3 linked regions of the Sus scrofa genome follow. The protein of the gene in region 3 interacts with the protein of the main gene of each other region in a pairwise test. Links are inferred from orthologs where the notes say so. Each region holds a gene or a part of one and is shown on either strand. Other genes may lie near its edges.

Region 1 (7,404 bases), on a different chromosome or scaffold from region 3:
TCACCTCCTGCAGGTAAGAAATGCTCCTTGAGGAGTTCCCATTATGGTGCAGTGGAAACAAACCCGACTAGTAACCACGAGGACGTGGGTTCGAACCCTGGTCTCGCTCAGTGGGTTAAGGATCTGATATTGCCATGAGCTGTGGTATAGATCGCAGATGAGGCTCGGATCCCTCATTGCTGTGGCTGTGGCATAAGCTGGTGGCTACAGCTGTTCGACCCCTAGCCTGGGAACTTCCACATGCCACAGGTGTGGCCCTAAAATGAAAAAAAAAGAAAAAGAAAAAAGAAAGAAATGCTCTTTGAGCTTCAGCTCATCCACACAAGAAGGCAGCTTTGACACACAAGTTGCCAGATTTTTCACTCGGCACCAATTTTGCTCATTTGTTCATTTATTCATTCAATTCAGCAAATATTTATTGATCACCCTCTTTGTGGCAGGCACTGTTCGAAGGCACTGGGGATAGAACATGAACAAGAGACAAAAATCCTTGCCCTTATGAAGCTTATATTCTAGTACCTTCCAAGGAATGGAAAAGCTTGTGAAAATGGAACCTCGTTTCCCAGTAATGCCTTTACTGTTGATTTCCTTCTCTTGGCTTGACTTTGAGCTCATCAGAACCACCAAGGCCTTACTGTCAGAAGAACACAGCCCAGCAATATCTGAACCTCCCACATGCCCTCAAACTTTAACCCACCTGTTCCCCAGAAACTACGTGCTTACCTCCTGCTCTTGGTTCTCCAACATCCTACACCAAAAGCCCATTGGTAGGAAACATCTGGCAAAGGGCAGAGACACAGGATCAATCACCGTTAGTTGGCTTCCACCCTTACTTCTCTCTGCCAGGGCAAAACCCTGAAAATTTTTCATCAGTCTCCCCTGGGGAAACACAGACAACTTTTTTTGTTCTTGAGTAAAACTTAAGAGGAAGCAAAAAAAATCCCCCCCACAGAAGCGTGGTGCCAAGCTAAAAGCCCTGTGGGATTTGCCTCCCTTCTTAGTCCCTGGTGGAGACCCTGACCCAAGCCGCCTCTAGCTAAAAAGCACGTTCAGGTCTGCACAATGTCCTCTCAGGCAGCCAGAACAGGCAGGTGGGCTCTAAAAGCTTTCTGCCTGAAAACACCAGCGATGCCCAGCAGTGTCTGTGGGCGCACACAGCACAGCTCTCTAAGTGAGCCCGACATCGCCCCCTTCTGGCTATCTAGAGACAACCAAAACCGCACACACACACCAAAGCTCCTAAGTCTATCTTTTGTCTTGCTAAGCACAGTCACACACACACACACCCGCCCCCGAAGGTACCTCTCAGGGTCAGAGAGTTCCGGGGGCACCTGAGCGGGCTGCCCAGCAATGACCTTCCCTTATCTAATCCAATCTCTGGAACCCAAGCCAATGGTTCTAATCATTTCCTCTCTCGATATGCGGTTTGCACCTCTGCCCAAGCACCCCACAGCTGCACAGGTCGACTCAGGATGTTTTCCGCTCCTTTGCAAAGATTCATTAAAGCCTAAGCCACTGATTTCCCCCAATGTGGCAGTTTACATGTGCAGCGACATCGCCCACTCCGACAAGGGGACCATGAAGGCTGCAGCACAGGGTTACTCAAGTCCAAAGGGGCCCATGATGTCACCTTCTGTTAAAATACAGCACTAATCTTGTTACTCCTAGAACCACTCCAACAGCATCCACTCTGGCTGCCGCCTCCACCCCCTTCTCCTCTCTTAAGAGCGGAACAATAAGGTTTAATTTCCCTTTCCAATTTACCTTGAAATGAAAACTGACTTCAGCCAATATGTACTGCCAACAAATGATCCGGGCTGGCTCCTGGGAAAACAAGACTATCGCTAAGCTCTCCCTCTCCTCCCCTCATGCCCATTCACACACCCACTCGTTTTTACAGTCCCACAATTAATTTTAAACACATTCTCTTATTAGTTCTGCCTTACCATTAGAAGAGCGTGTAATGAGTTTCCTTCTATTTTATGTTGTGCTAACACAAGGCTAACATTTCAAGAGAAGGGGAACTCATTTACGCCACAAAATTAGCAAAGCACACAGCTTTTCCAATCCTTTCCGGTATACCAGAAGGGCTCGCCACACACCGGCACTGCATGCAGAGATTAAACTGCATGATATACACCAAAATTGGGCTATAGAGCTGAACAAACAGGAAATTTTGTGATTGAGATATCATCTTTAACAGTATTCATGCTGACATTCTGATTTTTCATTTGATGCGGTCACTACCGCCAAAGAGTCCTGAACTGGAAGGCAGGACTGTCCAGTTCCATGGCCACTGATGCATGTAAGCAGTCCTGCATGTAAGCAGTCAAGTGGCTGTGACCCAAAAAGGCAGGCCAACTCACTGTGAACAACTAATCTCCTCATATTAAAACGAAACATCTTTTCTTTTCTCTTTTCAGGCATTGGTTAATTACCAGCACAGGAGCAGACAGTTAAATACACTGAACCGTTTTTCCTACAAAAGGAACAACAGGAGAGATGCTAACAAGGAAATCCACACACTCAGAAGAGCTCGAACATCCACAATGCCTTGAAAGGTTTCCCAAATTCAGGACCATAGTTTAGTAACTTAATGGTCATCACTCTCAGGCTCAAGAAGAGTTTGCCTAGGACTCTGAACCACCTCCAAAAGCAAGTTCCCCTCCTTTCCTTTGGGAATCATACCACTTAGAAACTAAAAGCTATAAACTGGCTTTAAAAATCCTAGGATCTCCAAGATGGTATAAACTTAAGTCTAAGTTCACAAAGCACTAAGAAAGTTTCAATGGTAACTTTCCTTAGAAACAACGGGGCCACAAAAACCTAGACTTCAAGTAATAATTTTCAGCAACTACTATTCTCCATCAGCTTCCTCCCTGTGCACTCCTTAGGAGGAAATAAAGCTCATTTCAGCCCTTGGAGGGAAGAAGGAAGTTCTTAATTTTAGCTCCATGATCTAGGAGATGGATCCATGTGTCATCTGACTAAGTATAGTTTCAGCTACTTACTTGGCACCAGCACCAGGAAGTGTAGCTTCCTGCGACCCTACAATCACATTTGAAGTTTTCCTTTGCTTTTCCCAGGACCTCCAAGGAAAACCCAGTTTGTTTATAGGGTAGATTCCTTGTAAAGCTTTCCAATGCCTCAACAATTCAAGGTAGCAATTCAAGGCTTTAACTCCACCATTTTCCCTCAGATTTAAACTACTTCAAGAGACAGGTTAAGAAAAAAAAATCAGGTGATAAAAAGTATACTGAGCCACCAAGACGCTCATCCTTGCTTACTCAGCCTTCAGCTCTTGGTGCCAGATGGCAACTCAAAAACTCTGCTTCGGAGAAACACTCACAGGTGGTAGAAGGAGCTCTCCTGTCTGACCAAGCTCTGCCTGTTCTCAACCAAGCAGCTATGCTCCATCTTTTGGTGATCTGCAACTTGCCACTCTCTCCACTTGCAAGCTGAGACACAAAGGCGACCACAATCTAGTGCAAGAGTCTTCTGGGTCCTCGTAAAATATGTGTCATTAGTCTTAGTCCTAGCGTTTGGCTAAAAGTCTCCAAACTTTTACTCCGGCCACACCCCCTGTGTTCCTAACGAACTAGGAGCAAAAAAGGCCACATAGTCCTTACTCCCTTTTGCCTACTAAGCCTGAGGAGTGGGAAGGAAAGATGCTTTACACTTTATAAATAAGTGGAAAAGCCGGTTTCCTTCCTCGGATACTGAGCTAGCCCTGCCTTCATCTCTGGAGAGGAGTCGGTTCCTTCCTCAGGATGTCCAGCAAGGTCCCCACCCTAAGCGCCACTGCTGACGCTCAAGCCTGCAGGCCTTACCTAAGACCAGAGCCCACGCCCCTTCACCTGACAGCAGCACCCACTCCCCGCGGACCCGCCCACTCCCCCTCACCTGAAAGCAGCGCCCACTCCCCACAACGACACCGCTGACAGCCCAACATATAGTCAGAGTCCCGGCTTCTCCTTCCGGGTGAGCTGCCGGCGCCCCGATGCACGACGGGAGAAAGTTGCCGGCGCGCCAATCCCGGGTGCCCAGACGCCCCGCCCCGCAGGCCCGGGCTCTCAGTGGCAGCCTCGCCCCGGCGGTGCGCTCCGCCCAGCGCTGGCCACTGCTGGAGTAGCTATTCCTACCTCTCCCCTGGGAGGCTGCAGGGTGGACGTGGGCGTGGGGAGACAAGAGGCTCTGACGTCCAATCCAGAGCCGCATCCCACCCATCGTTGTCAGGCCCAGCCAATCAGTGGCCAAGGAACAACCCCGAAACATCCCAAAGTGGGTCCCGGGGCAGAGTGTGAAGGGATGATCAGCGGTCTAGAGTGTGGCAGAGTCCAAAGCGTGGGAACCTCGCTGAGCCTGGGCGAGTCCCCATGTGAACCCTGGCTCCAGTTCCCCGGCTTTACCAAGGAAACACCAACTCAGATTCGAAGACCAGATTGTCGGAGCGAAAACCGGCTGAGGACTTTGCAGCAAACACCGGTTTCACTTGCGGAGCAAGCCCTAGGAAAGATCGTCCAGCCAGTTAGTAAGAAAGAAAAATACATTGACTACGATGTTTATGTTGTTGAAATGCCTTTTAACTATCTGCTTAAAAATAATTTTAGAAAAGCTAATATCAAGGGAAAAGTTGCAGTCGCAAATACGAGCTCTGGAGTTTAAAGACCTGGGTACAATGACCAGCACTACGCTGACCGTGTGATCTTAAATCTTTATGTCTTAAGTTCCTCTTCTGTAAGGTGGAGAAATCTCATAAGGTAAGGTCCACGTACCCCAAAGCAGCTTTTCTCAAACTTGTTGGTCTCAGGATCCCTTTACATTCTTACAAATATTTAAGGACCCCAAAGAGCTTTTGTTTATGTGGGATGTTCACCGGATTAGAAATTAAAACTGAGAAATTAGAAAAACGTATCTATTCACCTAAAACTAATAACAAACCATTACATGTGAACGTAATTTATTTTATGAAATATAACTACACTTTCCAAAACCCAAAAAAATTATCGAGTAGAATGTTATTCTATTACCATTTTGCAAATCTCTTTCATGTTTGGCATAATAGAAGACAGCTGAATTCTTGTATTAGCTTCCCCATTCTCTCTTGTGATTTTGTTTTGGACTAGGAAATGAAGAAAATCTGGTCTTACACAGGTACATAGATGACAAGGGAGAAGTATCTTTAGCCTTCGATAATTGTGGATACTCTTATTGTATACTAGCAAAACTCATCAAATTGTAATTTTTTTTTCTTTTTCTTTTTTGGCCTCACCCACAACATGTGGAAGTTCCCCAGGCCAGGGATCAAACCATTGCCACAGAAGCAATTGGGGCCACTACAGTGACACACCAGGCCCTTAACCCACTGCTCCACAAGGGAACTCTAAATGGTAGTTTCTTTAAGGTTAGTTGCAATGGGAAATCTGAAACCATTTGGAAAATACTGGTTTTCTGAGTAATGTAGATCTTCCAAATATTAATGTATTTCACTTTTCAGTTTTTTTTTTTTTTTGTCTTTTTGCCATTTCTTGGGCCGCTCCCTCGGCATATGGAGGTTCCCAGGCTAGGGGTCGAATCGGAGCTGTAGCTGCCAGCCTACACCAGAGCCACAGCAACGCAGGATCCGAGCCATGTCTGTGACCTACACCACAGCTCATGGCAACGCCGGATCATTAACCCACTGAGCAAGGGCAGGGATCGAACCCGCAACCTCATGGTTCCTAGTCAGATTCATTAACCACTGCGCCACCACGGGAATTCCACTTTTCAGTATTTTAAATATCACGTTTATTAAAATGTGATTAAAAATCACATTTAAGGGGTTCCCGTCATGGTGGCACAGTGGAAACGAATCTGACTAGGAACCATGAGGTTGTGGGTTCAATCTCTGGCCTCACTCAGTGGGTTAAGGATCTGGTGTTGCTGTGAACTGTGGTGTAGGCTGGCAACTAGCTCCGATTGGACCCCTAGCCTGGGAACCTCCACATGCCGCGAGTGCGACCCCTAAAAGCCAAAAAAAAAAAAAAGTCACATTTATTAAAAGCATCACTGAATTCATCAGTCTTGCAAAGTTGCCATCAAGCTCACTGGTGAATACTTCATTTTCCTATAATGGCAGAAAAGTTTTCCCTTCTTTTCTAGGTTCTTTGGCTGAAGTAAGACAAATTAACAGGAGAAAAAACAATTTTGTACTTAGAGGAGCCCCATAAAAATGATACCCAAGGGCAAGTTAGGCAGTGGAGACTCATATGCCATCTTGAGCTGAAGACTGGGCTAGGAGCCTGGGGCTTCAAAGTAGGGTAGGGCAATTCACAGGACTAGAAGGAGAGCAGGTGTTTGGTAATTAGAAGTTTGCCCAGGAAGTTCCCTTGTGGCACAGTGGGTTAAGGATCCAGCGTTGCCTCAGCTCTGGCACAGGCAGCAACTGCAGTACAGGTTTGATCCCTGACCCAGGAACTTCCACATGCCACAGATGAAGGGAAAAAAAAAAGTTTGCCTAGTCATCCTGATAAGTCGTTCAGATAAAAAAAGTTATCTCTGGTAGTAGCTCTTTTTCTGGTACAAGTCCCCTGCCTCCATTCTTTAAGATAGTTAGGGAGAAGTGAAAGTTTTCCCTGGAGTTCCTCTTGTGGCTCAGTGGGTTAAGAACCTGACACAGTGTCAGCGAGGATGCAGGTTCAATCCCTGGCCTCACTCAATGGGTTAAGGATCCAGCATTGCCACAAGCTGTGGTGTAGGTCCCAGATGCGGCTCAGATCTGACGTTGCTGTGGCTGCAGCGTAGGCAGCTGCAGCTCCAATTCCCTAGCCTGAAAACTAGGGAAAAGAAAAGACAAAGACCAAGTCACACAACAAATAAAAAAAGAACTCAGAGGGAACAAGTTCTGCAGCTCCTTTTTGACCCTTGACCCTGGAACTTCCATATGCCACAGGTTAGGTCCTAAAAATAAAAAAAAAAAAGAAAGAAAGAAAAGTTTTCCCTAAGTCTGCTACTGCGTTCAGCTCAAAATAATCCACATGCCAAAGTGCCATATTTAGGGGTGGCATATTCTGCCTCACCACATCTTCCAAATTTATAATTTTTGCTTGAAAGCTCTCTATCTCTCTCTGTTTTTTTTGGTCTTTTTAGGGCCCCACTCTTGGCATATAGAGGTTCCCAGGCTAGGGGTCCAATTGGAGCTGTAGCTACTGGCCTACACCACAGCCACAGCAACGCCAGATCCCAGCCTCATCTGTGACTTACACCATAGCTCACAGCAACACCAGATCCTTAACCCACTGAGTGAGGCCAGGGATCGAACCTGCGTCCTTGTGGATACTAATCAGATTCGTTTCTGCTGAGCCACGATTGGAACTCCAAAAGCTCAAATTTTGTCATGGGCAAAAATACTTTCTTTCAATCATT
Region 2 (7,488 bases), on a different chromosome or scaffold from region 3:
CTTGGAAACCGTCATTTACAACAGACAGCTCTGGAAAATGACAGCAGAGAAAAGAACTTTGCTCAAGGTCATTGAGAGGAAAAAGCAGCAGAGCTGGATTCTTCCCAGACCTGACTCTGAGGCCAACTGCAGGCCTATGTAACACCTTGGCATTCGTTGAAAGCCTCATGAAACACGCTCGTCTCTGTAAATGATCAATAGCACTAGTCAGGATGCCTCTCTTGGACTGTTACTTTGTTGTTGCTGTTGTTGTTGTCTTTTTATCTTTTCTAGGGCCCCTTCCCGAGGCATATGGAGGTTCCCAGGCTAGGGGTCTAACCAGCTGGCCTATGCCACAGCCACAGCAACACGGGATCCGAGCCATGTCTGTGGCCTACACCACAGCTCACAGCAACACTGGATCCTTAACCCATTGAGTGAGGCCGGGGATCATCCACAACCTCGTGGATTCATGAACCACTGTGCCACGATGGGAACTCCTGGGCTGTTACTTTGAAAACTTATTAAGAGAAAACATGTACAGCGTCTTAGGAAAATAAAACAAGAAAATGGCTTTTTAAACAAAAAAGTAGTTCTCTGCTTCCTCCCTCCTTTCATTCCAAAGAGAGCCGTTTTTTAAAAATTGTGGTAAAGTAGACATAAATGAAATTTACTATTTTAACCATCAATGGCACATCCATTCACATTTAAAAAAAAAATTTATGGCTGCACTTGTGGCGTATGGAGGTTCCCAGGCTAGGGGCTGTATCAGAGCTGCAGCTGCCGGTCAATGCCACAGCCTCCACTGCCTCAGCAACACTGGGTTGGGGCCGCATCTGCAACCTATGCCACAGCTCAAGGCAACGCTGGATCCTGAATCCACTGAGCGAGGCCAGGAACTGAACCCACTTCCTCACAGACACTACATCTGGTTCTGTGCTACCACGGGAACTCGCATTCACAAAGGCCTGCCAGAGCAGTGCCCACCTCTCGCTTCACAGGCCCAGAGAGGAGAAATGACTTCCCCAGGGTCATCCAGCAAGCTAGTAGCAAAGCCTGCTGAGCAGTTCGGGTACCCACTCCTGGGCTACTCCCCATTCCCTGGGCTGAGCTGTCAGACTCTGTGAGTTAGTCTCTTAGGAAGGCATATGCCCTGTGAGCCCAGCTCCTCTTCATCTCGCTTTCTCCGTCTTCCTTTCCAGGCAGCTGAAGTTCGGGGACCATCCCCAAGAGCCAGGGTTTCAGGGGGAATCCACAGTCACTTTTGGGATCACAAAGAGAGGAAACAGGAGTCCCCATTGTGGCGCAGTGGTTAACGAATCCGACTAGGAACCATGAGGTTGCGGGTTTGATCCCTGGCCTTGCTCAGTGGGTTAAGGATCTGGCGTTGCCGTGATCTGTGGTGTAGGTCACAGACGCAGCTGGAATCCCAGGTTGCTGTTGCTGTGGTATAGGCTGGCGGCTACAGCTCTGATTAGACCCCTAGCCTGGGAACCTCTGTATGCCACGTGTGTGGCATGTGTGTGGCCAAAAAAAAAAAAAAAAAAAAAAAAAAAAAAAGGGAGAGGAAACATAGCCTCCTTCTCATGACCTCAGTTTGGAGCCAAAGTTCCCAGATAAAGGCAAAGGTCTCCTCCGGCCAGGTTCAGCCCTCAGCACCCATTCCGCCTGACCCACTGTATCCCTGCTTCTGGGTCAGGAGAGGGGAAAGCACCCTGCCAGGGCCTTTCCCCCATAGCTCTCCCTCTCCTTCTCTGGAAAAGGGTCAAGGCTACACCAAGACACTGTGGACCAGGCACTCTGGTCTCCAACACCACCTTTCCAGCCAGGTCCAGAGATAAATAGTCACCTTCTTTCCAACCTGCAGACACACTGGGGCCTCAGAGGATCATAAGGAAGGCCTGGGGGGTTAGAGAGAGGGTGATGGGTGGAGCCTTGGCACAGTTGCTTTTCATTCTCATTCAGGGACAGCCTCGCGGGAACTGTGCCTTAGGGCCCCCACCCCGCCGCTAGGGCTGGCAGATGGGGGGAGAAAAACACAGGTTTCCACCACCTTAACGGGCCGGCAGCTCAAGGCAGGGGGAGGGAACGCAGGCTGCCCCTTGGGACACGGGAGTACCAACTGGAGCTGGCGTTTGTCCTCAGCCAGGACTCGCCCCGCGGTGGGGTGGGGGGTCCTCACCCGCTGCACCTTTTGTCCCGGCTGCCTCCCCTCCCCCGCGGGCCCTGTGCTCCAGCTGGCAGGCCTGGGGGAGCCTCGCACCGGCTCCCCCTGGCCTCTGGCCCACAACCCGGGAACCAGCACGTGACCTGTGCGCTAAGCCGGCTCTTGGGGGGGGGGGGATGGACGCGTCTGGCCGCGCCGCTGGTTCCCCCTTTACGAAATCAACACGTTCCTGCGCCCCCAAACTCAGGCCCCTAGTGGTTGGAAGGGGAGAGCTGCCGGGGTCCTGCGGCAGGGACTGTCGGGTCCAGAGGGGAAACCAAGGCAATTCTTCGAGGGTGGGTGGGGGGCGGGGCAGGGAAGCGGGTCCCAGGGAAGGTGGCCCGGGATCGGGCACTTCCTCCACGCCTCGTTTGGGCCTCGCCTCGCCCCGCCCCGGCCGGCCCCAACTTCTCCGCAACCCATAGGCAGAGGCGACCCTCCCGCCTCCCCGCGCTTCGCCCCGCCTCGGCGCGCTTTAAAAGTTTACTCCGGGCCGGGACGCTGACGTCGCGAGCCATGGCCGTCTACCTCGGGATGCTGCGCGTCGTGAGGCTGTGCGCCGGGAGGCCGGAGGTGCTGGGGGCCCGGGGCGGCCTCTCCCGGGTTTGGCAGGAAGCGAGGCTGTGGGGCGTCCGTCCCCTCAGGTACGCGGCCCCGGGAAGAGAAGGGACGGGCCAGTCCCCTGGGTGGGGATCCTGGGCGGGGGGCGGCGGGGGGGGGGGCGGTCTGCAGAGCCTCGCAGGGGGCAGATGGCACTCAAGCTGGGAGACTCGCGGCGGCTGCACCCCTGGGCAGCACAGGCGAGAGAGCAGGTACCCTGAATCTGGCACCTAGGCAACAGGAAATGCTGGCCTGGCCCACACAGGCTGGGGCTGCAGCTGCAGGGACTCTGCACAGACTCTGGGTTCTGGTTCAAGACTCTAGATTCTTCCAGTCGCGGGCATACTGATGGCCGGGAGTGGGAGCCATTAGCAGTCTGGCCCAAGGCCTGGACTCTCTCCCCAGGACACTCCTTCTGAGCTGGAACCTTTTCATGGTTAAACTTGGGGATCTTCCACCCCGTCTTGTGCGCCCCAGGTCCTGAAGCTCAGCAGTCTCCCCTCTCCTCCTCTGCTGCTGATAAACCCTGCTGGGCTCCTTGCTGCTTCCTTGGCCTCTTTTCTTCTGCTCTGGTGAAGAAGGAAAGTGCCCTGGCAGATGAAGGAAGTGTTTTTCTAGCAAGTGTGCTGCCTCTAAAGCAGCAGCGTAAGCAATACTACCTCCCTCTAAGAGTGCAGATGTGAAAATGTGTTTGGGAAGCAGGGCTGGGCTCCCGCTAGTTATTAGCGGTGGCTTTTATCTTTAGCACCCAGCAGGGGGAGGCCTGGCCACCACTGAGCCTGCCCTGCCACCCACCTAGGCCAGGTACTGGCTCTGGGGTCAGGACAGGGTTTTGGACCCCAGGTGCCATGTAGGCCTGGGCATTGAAAAGGGAGGAGAAGCTCGAAGAGGTTTCTTGTCTTGCCGGCATGGTGTAAACAAAACGAAAAAAAAAAAAAAAAACAGATGAGGGAAGTTGATGGGAGGTCCAAACTCCTCTTTGGCTGGAACTCTGGAGATCACAGTGTTTTGAACTAGCTGGTAGAAAGCATGCAGTGCTTTCGGATTGCTGGGCCTGATTTTTCTGGAGGTGGCTCAAGAAGGTCAGCAGATGGGATTCTGAGGACGAGAATGCTTCTCTGCTGGCTCCGTCACTCACGACCTCCTGCTAAGTGCCTTCCTAGGCAAGCTCTGCCATCACCACCCCACAGCCTTCAAGCCTCACTTCTGGACTCCGGGCGGGGGCGGGGGTGGGTGTACATGTTTCATGATGTACATCAGGCCACCTTTGCAATCGTTCTGGACCTTTGACTTTTTTTTTATGTGTAAACAAAGCAGGTCCCTTACTTGCTACAGTCCTGTAACCTTAGGGTAGGGGTACTAGGCCTCCGAGAAATTTCTGACTCTGTGTCAGGAGGAGAGCCATGTGTCCAGAGAAGAATTTCCTGAGCATCTGGCCTAATTCCCTCCCATCCTTTCCATGCACTCGTGCATGAGCCCTTCCCTACTGACTCTGGTCGTTTGGCCTGATTTTGCTCCTCCTGTCCTCTCGGAAACCCTCAGGAGTCTCAAGCATTCAGCCTATACTCCCGAGAGCCTTCATCATGACCAACCCCTGATGGGTGCCGTAGTTATGAAAGTCATAGAACCCAGTCCTCCGGGGACTTGTAGCCTAGTACAGAGACAAGTCAGGATGACCACTGCTCCGTGTTCTGGGTGCCGTGTGGAAAGCTCCTGGACTTTTGTCCTCTGCTCTTTCTGACCTGGTCCCATATAGCTCGCTTTCTTGCTGACCAGCACCCATGTCTATTCCTTATCAGATCCTTAGTTTTGCCTGTTAGGAAAAAGCAAGAATTTTGAAGCCAGGCTGCTTTGGGTTATAGCCCTAGTGCCTCCACCTACTTGCTGTGTGACTTGAGCATGTGACCTGAGCCAGGAGCCTGTGGCGTTGTCACTAATGGTACCTACTTGCTGAATTGACAAAGGCTTGCTCCTCTCAGCCTTTGCTTTGGGGCAGGCTTGGTCCCTAAGAACCTCCCAGTGGTGTCTAGGTAGGACTTCCAAGTGATTTGAAGGGAGGAAAGGACCCCCTCCTCAGTGACCTCTTTCTTGCACCTGGTCCTCTTTCCAGATCAGTTGCCAAAATGTTGGGCTCTGCCCAGCCCCAAGTCTAGTGCCTGGATCTGCTGGACACTCCTCTATCCATCAAGGTCAGGGCTGTCCAGAGCCCTTTTTCCCCAGAAGGAAAGAGGAAGCTGTCCATTGCTCTCCAGATCTCCTGAACTATCAACCCCTTCCCCTTGTCCACACACACGCTATTCCCCAGGAATGGGAAATGGTCTAGTCTGGGGCTTCCAGGAGCTTTGGAGGGAGGAATCCCATGCTGATTCCTTGGGGAAGCCTGTGAGGCAGCTGCACCTGGGTTATTGCGAGCACTTAGGGCTGGGGAAGACAGAAAGAACAGTGGTTTAGGAGTTCCCATCGTGGCTCAGTGGTTAACAAACCCAACTAGTATCCGTGAGGATGCAGGTTCGATCCCTATCCTTACTCACTGGGCTAAGGATCGGTGTTGCCGTGAGCTGTGGTGTAGGTCACAGGTGCAGCTCGGATCCCGCCTTGCTGTGGCTGTCACGTAGGCTGGCAGCTACGGCTCCAATTTGACCCCTAGCCTGGGACCCTCCATATGTGCAGGTGCGACCCTAAAAAGACAAAAAAAAAAAGACAAAAAAAAAATACAAAAAAAAAAAAAAGAAAAGAAACTATAAATTTAGACATTGTAATCTGTGAATGATGCAGGTATGCAGTCTACTGTGGCGGGTGCAATGGGGGATACAAGGATGGATGAACTTGTTTTCAGTGACTTCTTTGACTAAAAGGGCTCTACAGGGAAAGATCATAGACCCACTGATTCAAGGAAGTAAGGATGCTGTACCAGGGAGGGTGTCAATCAAAGCAGGGAAGAATCTGACTGGTAGGAATGGGACTGGGTAAGACTTTCTAAAGAGCCCAGAATATGAGCCTGATCTCCAATGACAGGGCTGTAGTTTGAAGGATGAAGTCTATATACTTGTATGAACGCTTGCTTGCCCTAAACTCTTTTGAACCTTGGATATGAAGCCTTGCTAAGATCTCTCACATTATTTATTTATTCAGTCTACAAAGATTTTGGAGCCAGACAGATCTGTGTTCAAAGAACCACTTTCTAGCTGGTAGCTTCCGGAATCAGTTGAACTTGAGACCTTTGTTGTTTGTAAACGGTGTTGTTGTGAGAGTTAAGTGAGGTCACATAAGAATGTTGTTTTTTTTTTTTTTTTTTCCCCCGTCTTTTGTCTTTTTAGGGCTGCACCTGGGGCACATGGAGATTCTCAGGCTAGGGGCTGAATCACAGCTGTAGCTGGTGGCCCCTGCCACAGCCACAGCAACTCGGGATCCAAGCCACGGCTGCAACCTACACCACAGCTCATGGCAATGCCGGATCCTTAACCCACTGAGCGAGGCCAGGAATTGAACCCGAGTCCTGATAGATGCTAGTTGGATTCATTAACCACTAGGTCACAACGTGAACTCCCTATTTTTTTTTTTTTTTTAAGAAAAATCTTTTTCTTTTTTTTTTCATCTTTTTTTTGTCTTTTCTAGGGCTGCACCCACAGCATATGGAGGTTCCCAGGCTAGGGGTCTAATCAGAGCTGTAGCCACTGGCCTATACCACAGCCACAGCAACACCAGATCCGAGCCACGTCTGCACCCTACACCACAGCTCACGGCAACACCGGATCCTTAACCCACTGAGCGAGGCCAGGGATCGAACCTGCAACCTCATGGTTCCTAGTTGGATTTGTTAACCACTGCACCACGACGGGAACTCCCAGAAAATTCTTAATTCGTGGCCTGACTCTAAGGAGACCTTCAACCCATTGCATTAATGATAGGGCTTGTGCAATAATGGCTTTGGACATTCCTACAATTATTCCAAGATCCACGGCTTAGAAGCCTGTCTGGAGAGTAGGAAGAACACAGGTCTACTTAAACCAACCTGGGGCTGCTCTGGCTGTTGACAGACACATCGTGCTTATGCTGAGTGCTGGGATAAAGGGCTGCTCTCCCCCCCAACCCCCGATCATGTGTTGAAGAAACCAAAGTATAGGATGTAATTTCATCCCTTGAAAGGGCCTGGCTGGGGGAGTGTCTTGATAAATGGCAGGTACCAATAATGCTACCAGGCGCCTCTCCCTTCAGAAATAAACAAGCTGTTTCGAGCTTAGGAATCATGTTTTGGGAACCTAACCGGCACACGTGCTTCTCAGTTTGGGAGTTACACCACAGGACAGAAAATCCCAGCCCTACCACTTCTAGTTCAGTATGGCTTTAGGCAAGTTACTCACCCTGTCTGGACCTTGGTTTCTTTGTAAAATAGGCCACTTGGACAAGAGGCACTCTGCACTATTTCTGTGGACATTCTGGGCTTTGGGCCTGATCTCTGAGTCCATGTTCTTTGGGCCTGATCTCCGAGTCTGTGTTCTTTGGGCCTGGTCTCTGAGTCGGTGTTCTTCTCTACATAGGCACAAACACACATTCGCTATCAGTTTTTTGTTTGTTTGTTTGTTTTTTATCTTTTTGCCTTTTTTATAGGGCCACTCTCGTGGCATATGGAGATTCCCAGGCTAGGGGTCCAATAGGAGCTGTAGCCACTGGCCTATGCCAGAGCCACAGCAATGTGGGATCTG
Region 3 (7,626 bases):
TATAAAAACATATTATTCCTAGCTGAAGATGTTTATTCATCCAGACCTCTGCTTCTCAAAGAGATTATCTGCCCTTTCCATTCTAATTTTCTCACAAGTGGTTTTCCGGAAGCTTCATGACATGATGACATCAGAGCTGCAAGGGTTCATGTAAACATCAAGAGACAAAAGCTTTTCGGGGTACTCAATACTTTTTAGGAGCATAAAGGCTCTTAAGGCCCAAAGTTTAAGCCATAGATTTAAAAAAAAATTTTGTTGTTGTTGTTGTCTTTTGTCCTTTTAGGGCCACACCCATGGCATATGGAAGGTCCAAGGCTAGGGGTCTATCTAATCGGAGCTGTAGCCGCTGGGCTACACCACAGCCACAGCCACGCCAGATCCGAGCTGCATCTGTGACCTACACCACAGCTCATGGCAATGCCGGATTCTCAATCCACTGAGTGAGGCCTGGGATCGAACCTGCAACCTCATGGTTCCTAGTTGGATTCATTTCCACTGCACCACAATGGGAACTCCCTCAAAAAAATTTTTACTCAAAGTATAGTTGATTTGCAATGTTCCGTCAATTTCTGCTGTGCAACAAAGTGACCCAGGCATATATACATACAAAACATTCTTTTCCTCATGTTATCTTCTGTCATGTTCCATCACAAGTGATTGGATATAGTTCCCTGTGCTGTACAGCAGGACCTAGATTTATTTCACTGCATTGGGTTACGGAGCTTACAAAAGTACTACAAATTCTGGAAACCAGGCCTGCGGTTCTAAGAAAAGGCATTCTTCACAGATTATACATTACAAAAGACTTCAGGCACTTGCATAAATGGAACTGGAGTCTTTATTAGTAACAAGCACAATCCACAGTAATTTAATATCTCACTTACAGAAACACCAAAGAAACCACGCCCATGATGGCAGGTGGAAACCAGGCTCTTTCCCATCGGAGGACTTTATCTGCCATCAGCATCACTTCTCCCCATCCCTGCAGCTGCTCTTCCAGATTTGCAGTCTCTGCAGCCTACATATGAGCAACATTTAAAGGGATTATTTTACTAATCTCCATATTTTCGTGGCTCCTAGAGAGTTAAATTCTTCTAAGGCACCAAGCATGTAAAAGAGCTCTTATAAATCACTATGGTTTTTTTGGCTTTTCAGGACCACAGTCATGGCATACGGAGGTTCCCAGGCTAGGGGTCGAATCAGAGCTGCAGCCACTGGCCTAGGCCACAGCCACAGCAATGTGGAATCCGAGCTGCATCTGTGACCTATACCACAGCTCACAGCAACACTGGATCCAAAACCCACTGAATGAGGCCAGGGATCGAACCAGCGTCCACATGGATACTAGTTGGACTCATTACCACTGAGCCACAATGGGAACTTCCACAAATCACTATCTTAAACAAGTTAGTCTTTAAAAAAAACTCTGCAGTTTTGATACCAAAGCCAGAAATTACGGGGGAAAAATTATCACTTAATGGTCACCTTCCAACTCTAAGCACTGGGCTATTCTTTATGTACATAATAACCCGTATAGAACCTCATAAAATAAGGATAATTAGATCCATTTTACAGTAAAAAGAAAGTGAGCTCAGAACGGTTGCTTTCCAAATTCTCTTGTGGTGCATCGAGTTAAGGCATTGTCACTGCAGTGGCTTTGGTTGCTGCTGTCGTGTGGGTTCAATCCTTGGCCTGGCCCGGGAACTTCCATACACAGGAGGGCACAGCCAAAAAAAAAAAAAAAAAGTTGCTTTCCCAAAGTCATGTCCTACTAAGTGGCAGCTTTCTGAAAATGAAATTACATCACTTTAAGTTTGCTCATTTCAGGTGGTTACAACTAATTTGTTGTTTCATTTCACTGACTTAACCCCCTACTTCTGAATCCATTAGGAAAGCCTCTTCCTGAAGAGCGGTTTCCAAAACAGCTCTCTGTATAATGGAATCATTTAGATGTTGGCATCATCTGCACAATTAGGAAAACTACGGGTGCTTTCACCAAATTATATGAGGCACAGTAAGCCCAATTTACCTCAATAAAATGCTTCTGACACTTAGCAGACATTGTGGTTAGACTTTAAATTTCTCTGCAAATCTGACAATCACCTGCAAGGAAACTTCTAGGATGAAGCCAATGTGACAAAAAGCCTTTAAACTGATTCTGGTAGAGGAAAAAAAAAAAAATTGGAAGAAACCCATGTATCCTTATGACTGTTATTATAGGGAGACAGGCAAATGATAGGAGACAGTGCCGCTTAACCTTGTTGAAGATGACATCTGTGGAGTTCCTGTCGTGGCTCAGCAGAAACGAATCTGACTAGTATCCGTGAGGACGCAGGTTTGATCCCTGGCCTTGCTCAGTGGGTTTAGGATCCAACACTGCTAAGAGCTGTGGTGTAGGTTGCAGACTTGGCTTGGATCTGATGTTGCTGTGGCTGTGGTGTAGCCTAGCCTGGGAACCTCCATAGGCCATGGGGGCAGCCCTAAAAAGAAAAAAAAAAAAAAAAAAAAATGCTGTGCCACACTGATCACTTAGGTGGAACCTCAATATTTCTGACTTTATATACTATGTTTAATAAGTTAAAAAAGATTATCATGTGCCAGAAACTCTGCTAAATGTTTTCTGTGTTTATATTTTAATCATTTCTCGTAACAAACTGAAAGGAAGATGTTATTATTTTCATTTTATAGATAAGGACACTGAGATACACAGAGGTTAACAGATCTGAATCTGGCAAATCCAAGGCCAAAGGCCTGTCCTTAAAGCCACACTGCTCTGCAGAGAGAGCAGCAGAGCAGAGCCCATATCGGTTGTCTCAACAGCTGTGTAAACTTGGGCAACTTCTTTGTGCTACAATCAATTCTTAAAACGAAGCTGGCTGGGGCTAACTAGGCTTACCACAGAGAAGAGGTTTTTGCTGTGTGTGTGTCATGGGGCAGAGGTCATACGTTTCTAAAAATCAATGCAAAACGAAAATCATGCACAATCAAAACTGCCCTGCAAAGTCACTTAATTCATTAGCACTCTCCCTGGGGAAAATGCAACGTAGAAAATGGACTGATCCTTCCTTCCCTTTTGCCTAGATCCTGCGTGATTCTCAGTGAGGTTAAAATTGTCTGCCTGTGATAGAACCTCACTGCATTTCCTTTAGACCCCTGCTTACTCGAAAGTCCTCCCGTGACCCTCCCCCTTCCCCAAAGGTTTATCAGTTACAGACTAACGCCGAGACCTCCCATAGTCCTTCCGGCTGGACTCTTACTTTCGGTTCCCAGCGGTGAGTTTGCAGCCTCGCTGCCGTGTTAAGCTGTGCCAGCTCTAACAAATTATCGGCAGCAACCCTTTGACCCTCAACCCCTGACCAAATACTGGGGAAAAGGGCGAAAGGATGTCCTGCTTAAGATGAAAGAGGGAAAACCCGGATACCGCTGGGGCCTGGGCCCCCCGAAGCACTCGACAGGGCACTCGCGGCCCTCAGCCAGTGACTGCACCCCAGGCGGGTCCCAGCCCCTCTTCTCTCGCTTCCTCCTCAACCTCTATTCGCGGTGAATGATCACGCGCCCTCGCTCCGTCGCGAACCGTCCCCAAGGGATGTTAGGCGTGGACACGACTAGTGACCGCCAAGCAAGGCTCACCCACGACATCCAAAGGGCAGGAGTCGTCGCCTGCACCTGGGCACCGGGAGAGGAGGCCGGGCCCGCGGCAGGTGATAGGAACGAAGCCGCAGCGCCGTCCCATGGAGCCTAATATCCAGAAACCCAGCGCATTTCCCTCACGACGAAGCCGCCAGGACTCACCAGCAGATTGGTGCTGCGATTATCTCCCTCTGCCATCGTCCCTGAGGTGTCGTCTCTAGGAGCGAAAGACGCCACAAAACCAAGAGCTCTCTCGAACCCCTTAAGGCTACCCTGGCATCAGGGTACGCCCCGCAAGCCGCTTATATAGGCTGGATGCCTTTCCCGACAGACCCCGCGAAGCTCGCTCCTCATTGGGCAAATCAAGATGAAGCTGAAGCCGGGGCGGCCAACCGCTGTCCAGCGCATGTCTTGAAACCGAGGTCAAAGGAGAGTGAGAACGCCGGGGCCGAGGAGGCGGGGACACTGAATGACCAATCAGCGCCCAGGAGGTGTGCGACGCCCCGCCCAGGCCTTTCAGAAGCGGTTGAACGGCCGCTGCCCGGGGCCTGGTGTGGCCTCAGTATCCCCGGGGCCTGTGGGAACCGTAGCTCTCGGACGCTCTTTCAGGGGGACCTCAAAGCAGCCAAGGAGACTCTCCGGAATTAGTCCTCGAGGAAATATGCCACCCAGTATCAGGCGGAAGGCAGAGGTGGTCATGTGACGCTAACTTCATTGTGATTAAGGGGGCCGGCTGGGATCCTCTTAACAGAAGCAGCCTGTGGCCCTCGCCCCAGCTGTTCCCCGTCGGCCCCGCCTTCTGATCCCTGCTCCCGCAGCCTTGAGCAGTTTAGCCTGGATTTATGACTCGTGCCCATCTCGTGAGGTTTCGCGGACAAATGAATAGGGCTATTTATGTAGATTTTTTTTCCGCAATGTTACTCCCCTTTAAGGCCTTAGTTTGATGGGGGTAGGAGAAAATCTTGGCGTAGTTCGACAACTTGTGAAAAATGCATTGACTTAAAAAAATCGGCTTGTTTATATAGGGTGTTTGGGGAAATTCTTTGTGGGGTAAACTACGAACTCCCTCTCCAAAAAGGGACTTGTTTTGACAGATCTTTTTACATTAGAGGTCATGCTAAGGAAAGATGTCAACTCTCTCATAAGGGTGGAATGAATTGGAATTTAAGAAGCAGATGAATGCCAGGGGAGCGGCCAAACAAAAACAAAAACTAGATGAGCTGTGTTGAGAAATCTTTTCTCTCCAGGACTTCACAAAAATGTATTTAAAAAATGCTTTCATTTTCATTGCTCGAAATATGCTAAATGTTGACCTGGTCAGATGTCTTTTTGAGGAAAACTTAGCATAGCTTTTAACTTTTTATAGTCTTCTATATTATGCCATCGTTTGTTTTTGGGTTTTTTTGGTATCTCATGTGGCATTTTTTTATTATACTATTAACCAATTGTGTTTTTTTTTTCCCCGCTGTACAGCATGGGGACCAAGTTACACTTACATGTATACATTTTTTTCCACCCTTTGTTCTGTTGTGATATAAGAATGTAAGTTTCTTTTTTTACTGTGAAAAAAAATAAAGCATCTGATCAGGTATAAACACTTGGAGGGAGATTAAAAAAAAAAAAAAAGCCTCTGCAAGGGAAGGGGACTGACTCTTCAGTAAAGTTCCACTTAGGGAAATGTTGGGGAGAAAAACAGGTTATGCAGGTAAAATGCAGCCAGTTGATATATCCCATTTGGGGAGATTTTAGTTGGAGTTTGAAGAGTAGGCCCTTCCCTACCTCTTCAAAAGAAAATCAGAAGGTCGCAAACAGCGAGCAACCAACCACGTGATGAATATAGAGAGTACTGAATGCAAAACAGTACTTTAGGTACAGTAACATCCACTTCCGAAGAAGAGGGCATCAGTTACTAGAGTTTAAAAACTGCCATTTGTACATTGGGAAATCAGCTTTTGCTACAGAGTGCGCCTGGTTTTTATCCAAGTTCCCTGTGTACAACTTCAGAAGAGACTTCTCTTTCAACAGCAGCTTGTGCAATTCAAGTAGGTGAAAACTGAAGGATCTGCTTTCAAACAGCACAGATTCTCCACAGAGTATCTCTTACTCAAGGAATGTGTTCCCAGACCTAACCAGCAACTTAACACCGAGCACTGGTGGAAGGTCTTTAACTAAAATTCCAGTCGCCCTAATAAGAACAAAAAACACCTACACTTAGCATGGCTTTCTTGGATGGAGCCTTTTGCCCCATTTTGTACAATAAAGGCAAGACAGAATCTTTTGAAACATGTTGGATGACTAAACAGTTAACATAAATCTTCCTAACATAATCCAACAAATGCAATCTTATTTCCAGATATTAAAACAGGTTGGCCATTTCGTTTTCCTTCATAGCTTTCATACACCAGGGAACATAAATGTGAGTAACATTCCACAGGAGTTCTTATTTAAAGATTTACAAAATTAAGCTTAATTGTGCCTTAATACTAAGAACTTAATCATGGAAGTAAAATTTCCACTGCTAATTCAAAAGTACTATTAAACTCTGAGGGTAAAATATATTTGAGAATTAAGTTTTAAAAAAAACCTTCTGGATTAACGCTTTTTAAAAAATTATTCATATTCCAAAATTAATTTTTCTGGAAACTTCGATAAATCAGAGCTTAAATCTTTTAAAACTTTATTTTTTGAAAAACAGGTATTTCATACAATCTTTGCCATGTTAATGCAAATATGCACAAAGTAGGCATGTATTTTGTTTTCCAAAAAATGCATTATGAATATTTTCAGGAAGCTGGTGTGTTTTATTCAACTTTTAATCTTAAATACAATCACAAAATTATATCCATCAGGAGGCCTTACAAACCATTTGTACAGAGAAGCCATTTTATTTATACAATGTTACTAGAACAAGGAAGATTCAGTTCAACTCAATTTGCTCTTAGAATAAAGGGTAAATAAACAAGTGAATGATGTTGCCACTGACATTACAGGTGGAAATATAAGGAAAATTTAAACAAGAAAATAACTGACACAAGAACTTTAAACAGGAGTTGAAACTTGTACTGTCAGGAAAAGAAAAAAAAAATCAGCCTGTTTTGAAAGAAAAACATTCTGCAAGTTTCTGCATTTCAGAACAACATTCAGTTCCTTAAGTTTACCATCTTCAAAAGCTGAGCTAATTCTAATTGTATGGCACTTTTGCATTAGCACAACAAACAGCTTTTCCTTAGTAAGCCCAGTCAAATTCCCTTGGAAAGAAAGAGACTACATGGTTCATGTTGTACAACTAACCCTTGAACCTATAAAGCTTCTCTCAATTGAAGTCCATTTGCCCTTATGTAAAGAATGGTGATATTGTTACCCAGGCCTAAAAAAGCAGGAAAAGTGCAACAAACCCTTCTGGGTTTAGAACAGTGAATTTCCTTCCCCAGTGTATGGAAAATTTGTAATGCTAGCTAGGTTTTCCCACAGGAGGACTCTCTCTAATAGAACCCAAATATTGAAAAAAAATCTGCCTTCTTTAAAAGGGACCCCCTTCCTTTAACATAGTTGGCCTCCTGGATTTGAGGAAAGGTCCTAGCTCTAAATTACTGGCATTTTTACAAGGCAAGATACAGAATGGAAGGTCATTGGTTTTCATATTCATCTGATTTTTATATAAAAACAAAGATACTTAAATGTGCTAACAGAAAAGCATTCACTGATTCTTGATGCATATGAATAGAACTAACAAGCTAATTTGTAGGTGCCTTCTTAAATATGAAAAGAATTGGGAGAAAAGAAGAACCAGCTCCTTTGATTTTAGTACTGCCACAACCAGTAAGCCCCCAAAGTAATTACAAATATGTGGAGGAAAATAGGCCAGGAAGACTTTTTAAAGTACTGCCTATATCACCCCAGATTTAAAAGGACCTAAGATTGCACATCAACTCTAATATTTGGCTGTACTTGCATTGCCCTGCTTGGCATTTTTTAATGGCTCTTTCCTTAGATTTC

Evidence for each region.
Region 1: the proteins of ARL6IP1 (region 3) and SNX11 interact in binary tests that used the Homo sapiens proteins (3 or more experiments, as listed by UniProt). The two-hybrid records come from large-scale screens. The link is inferred for Sus scrofa from reciprocal best matches to the Homo sapiens genes ARL6IP1 and SNX11.
Region 2: the proteins of ARL6IP1 (region 3) and ACSF2 interact in binary tests that used the Homo sapiens proteins (3 or more experiments, as listed by UniProt). The two-hybrid records come from large-scale screens. The link is inferred for Sus scrofa from reciprocal best matches to the Homo sapiens genes ARL6IP1 and ACSF2.

What each region holds. Positions count from the first base shown.
Region 1 is NC_010454.4:24,347,944-24,355,347, reverse strand, and holds the start of SNX11 (sorting nexin-11), read right to left. Parts: upstream 4,049-7,404; 5' UTR 3,904-4,048; intron 1,825-3,903; exon of another isoform or gene 1,765-1,824; intron 880-1,764; 5' UTR 871-879; coding exon 724-870; intron 8-723; coding exon 1-7. UniProt on the Homo sapiens protein: Phosphoinositide-binding protein involved in protein sorting and membrane trafficking in endosomes. Regulates the levels of TRPV3 by promoting its trafficking from the cell membrane to lysosome for degradation.
Region 2 is NC_010454.4:26,711,246-26,718,733, forward strand, and holds the start of ACSF2 (acyl-CoA synthetase family member 2, mitochondrial), read left to right. Parts: upstream 1-2,544; 5' UTR 2,545-2,701; coding exon 2,702-2,829; intron 2,830-7,488. UniProt on the Homo sapiens protein: Acyl-CoA synthases catalyze the initial reaction in fatty acid metabolism, by forming a thioester with CoA. Has some preference toward medium-chain substrates. Plays a role in adipocyte differentiation.
Region 3 is NC_010445.4:26,756,926-26,764,551, reverse strand, and holds the start of ARL6IP1 (ADP-ribosylation factor-like protein 6-interacting protein 1), read right to left. Parts: upstream 3,908-7,626; 5' UTR 3,829-3,907; coding exon 3,793-3,828; intron 1,019-3,792; coding exon 885-1,018; intron 1-884. UniProt on the Homo sapiens protein: Positively regulates SLC1A1/EAAC1-mediated glutamate transport by increasing its affinity for glutamate in a PKC activity-dependent manner.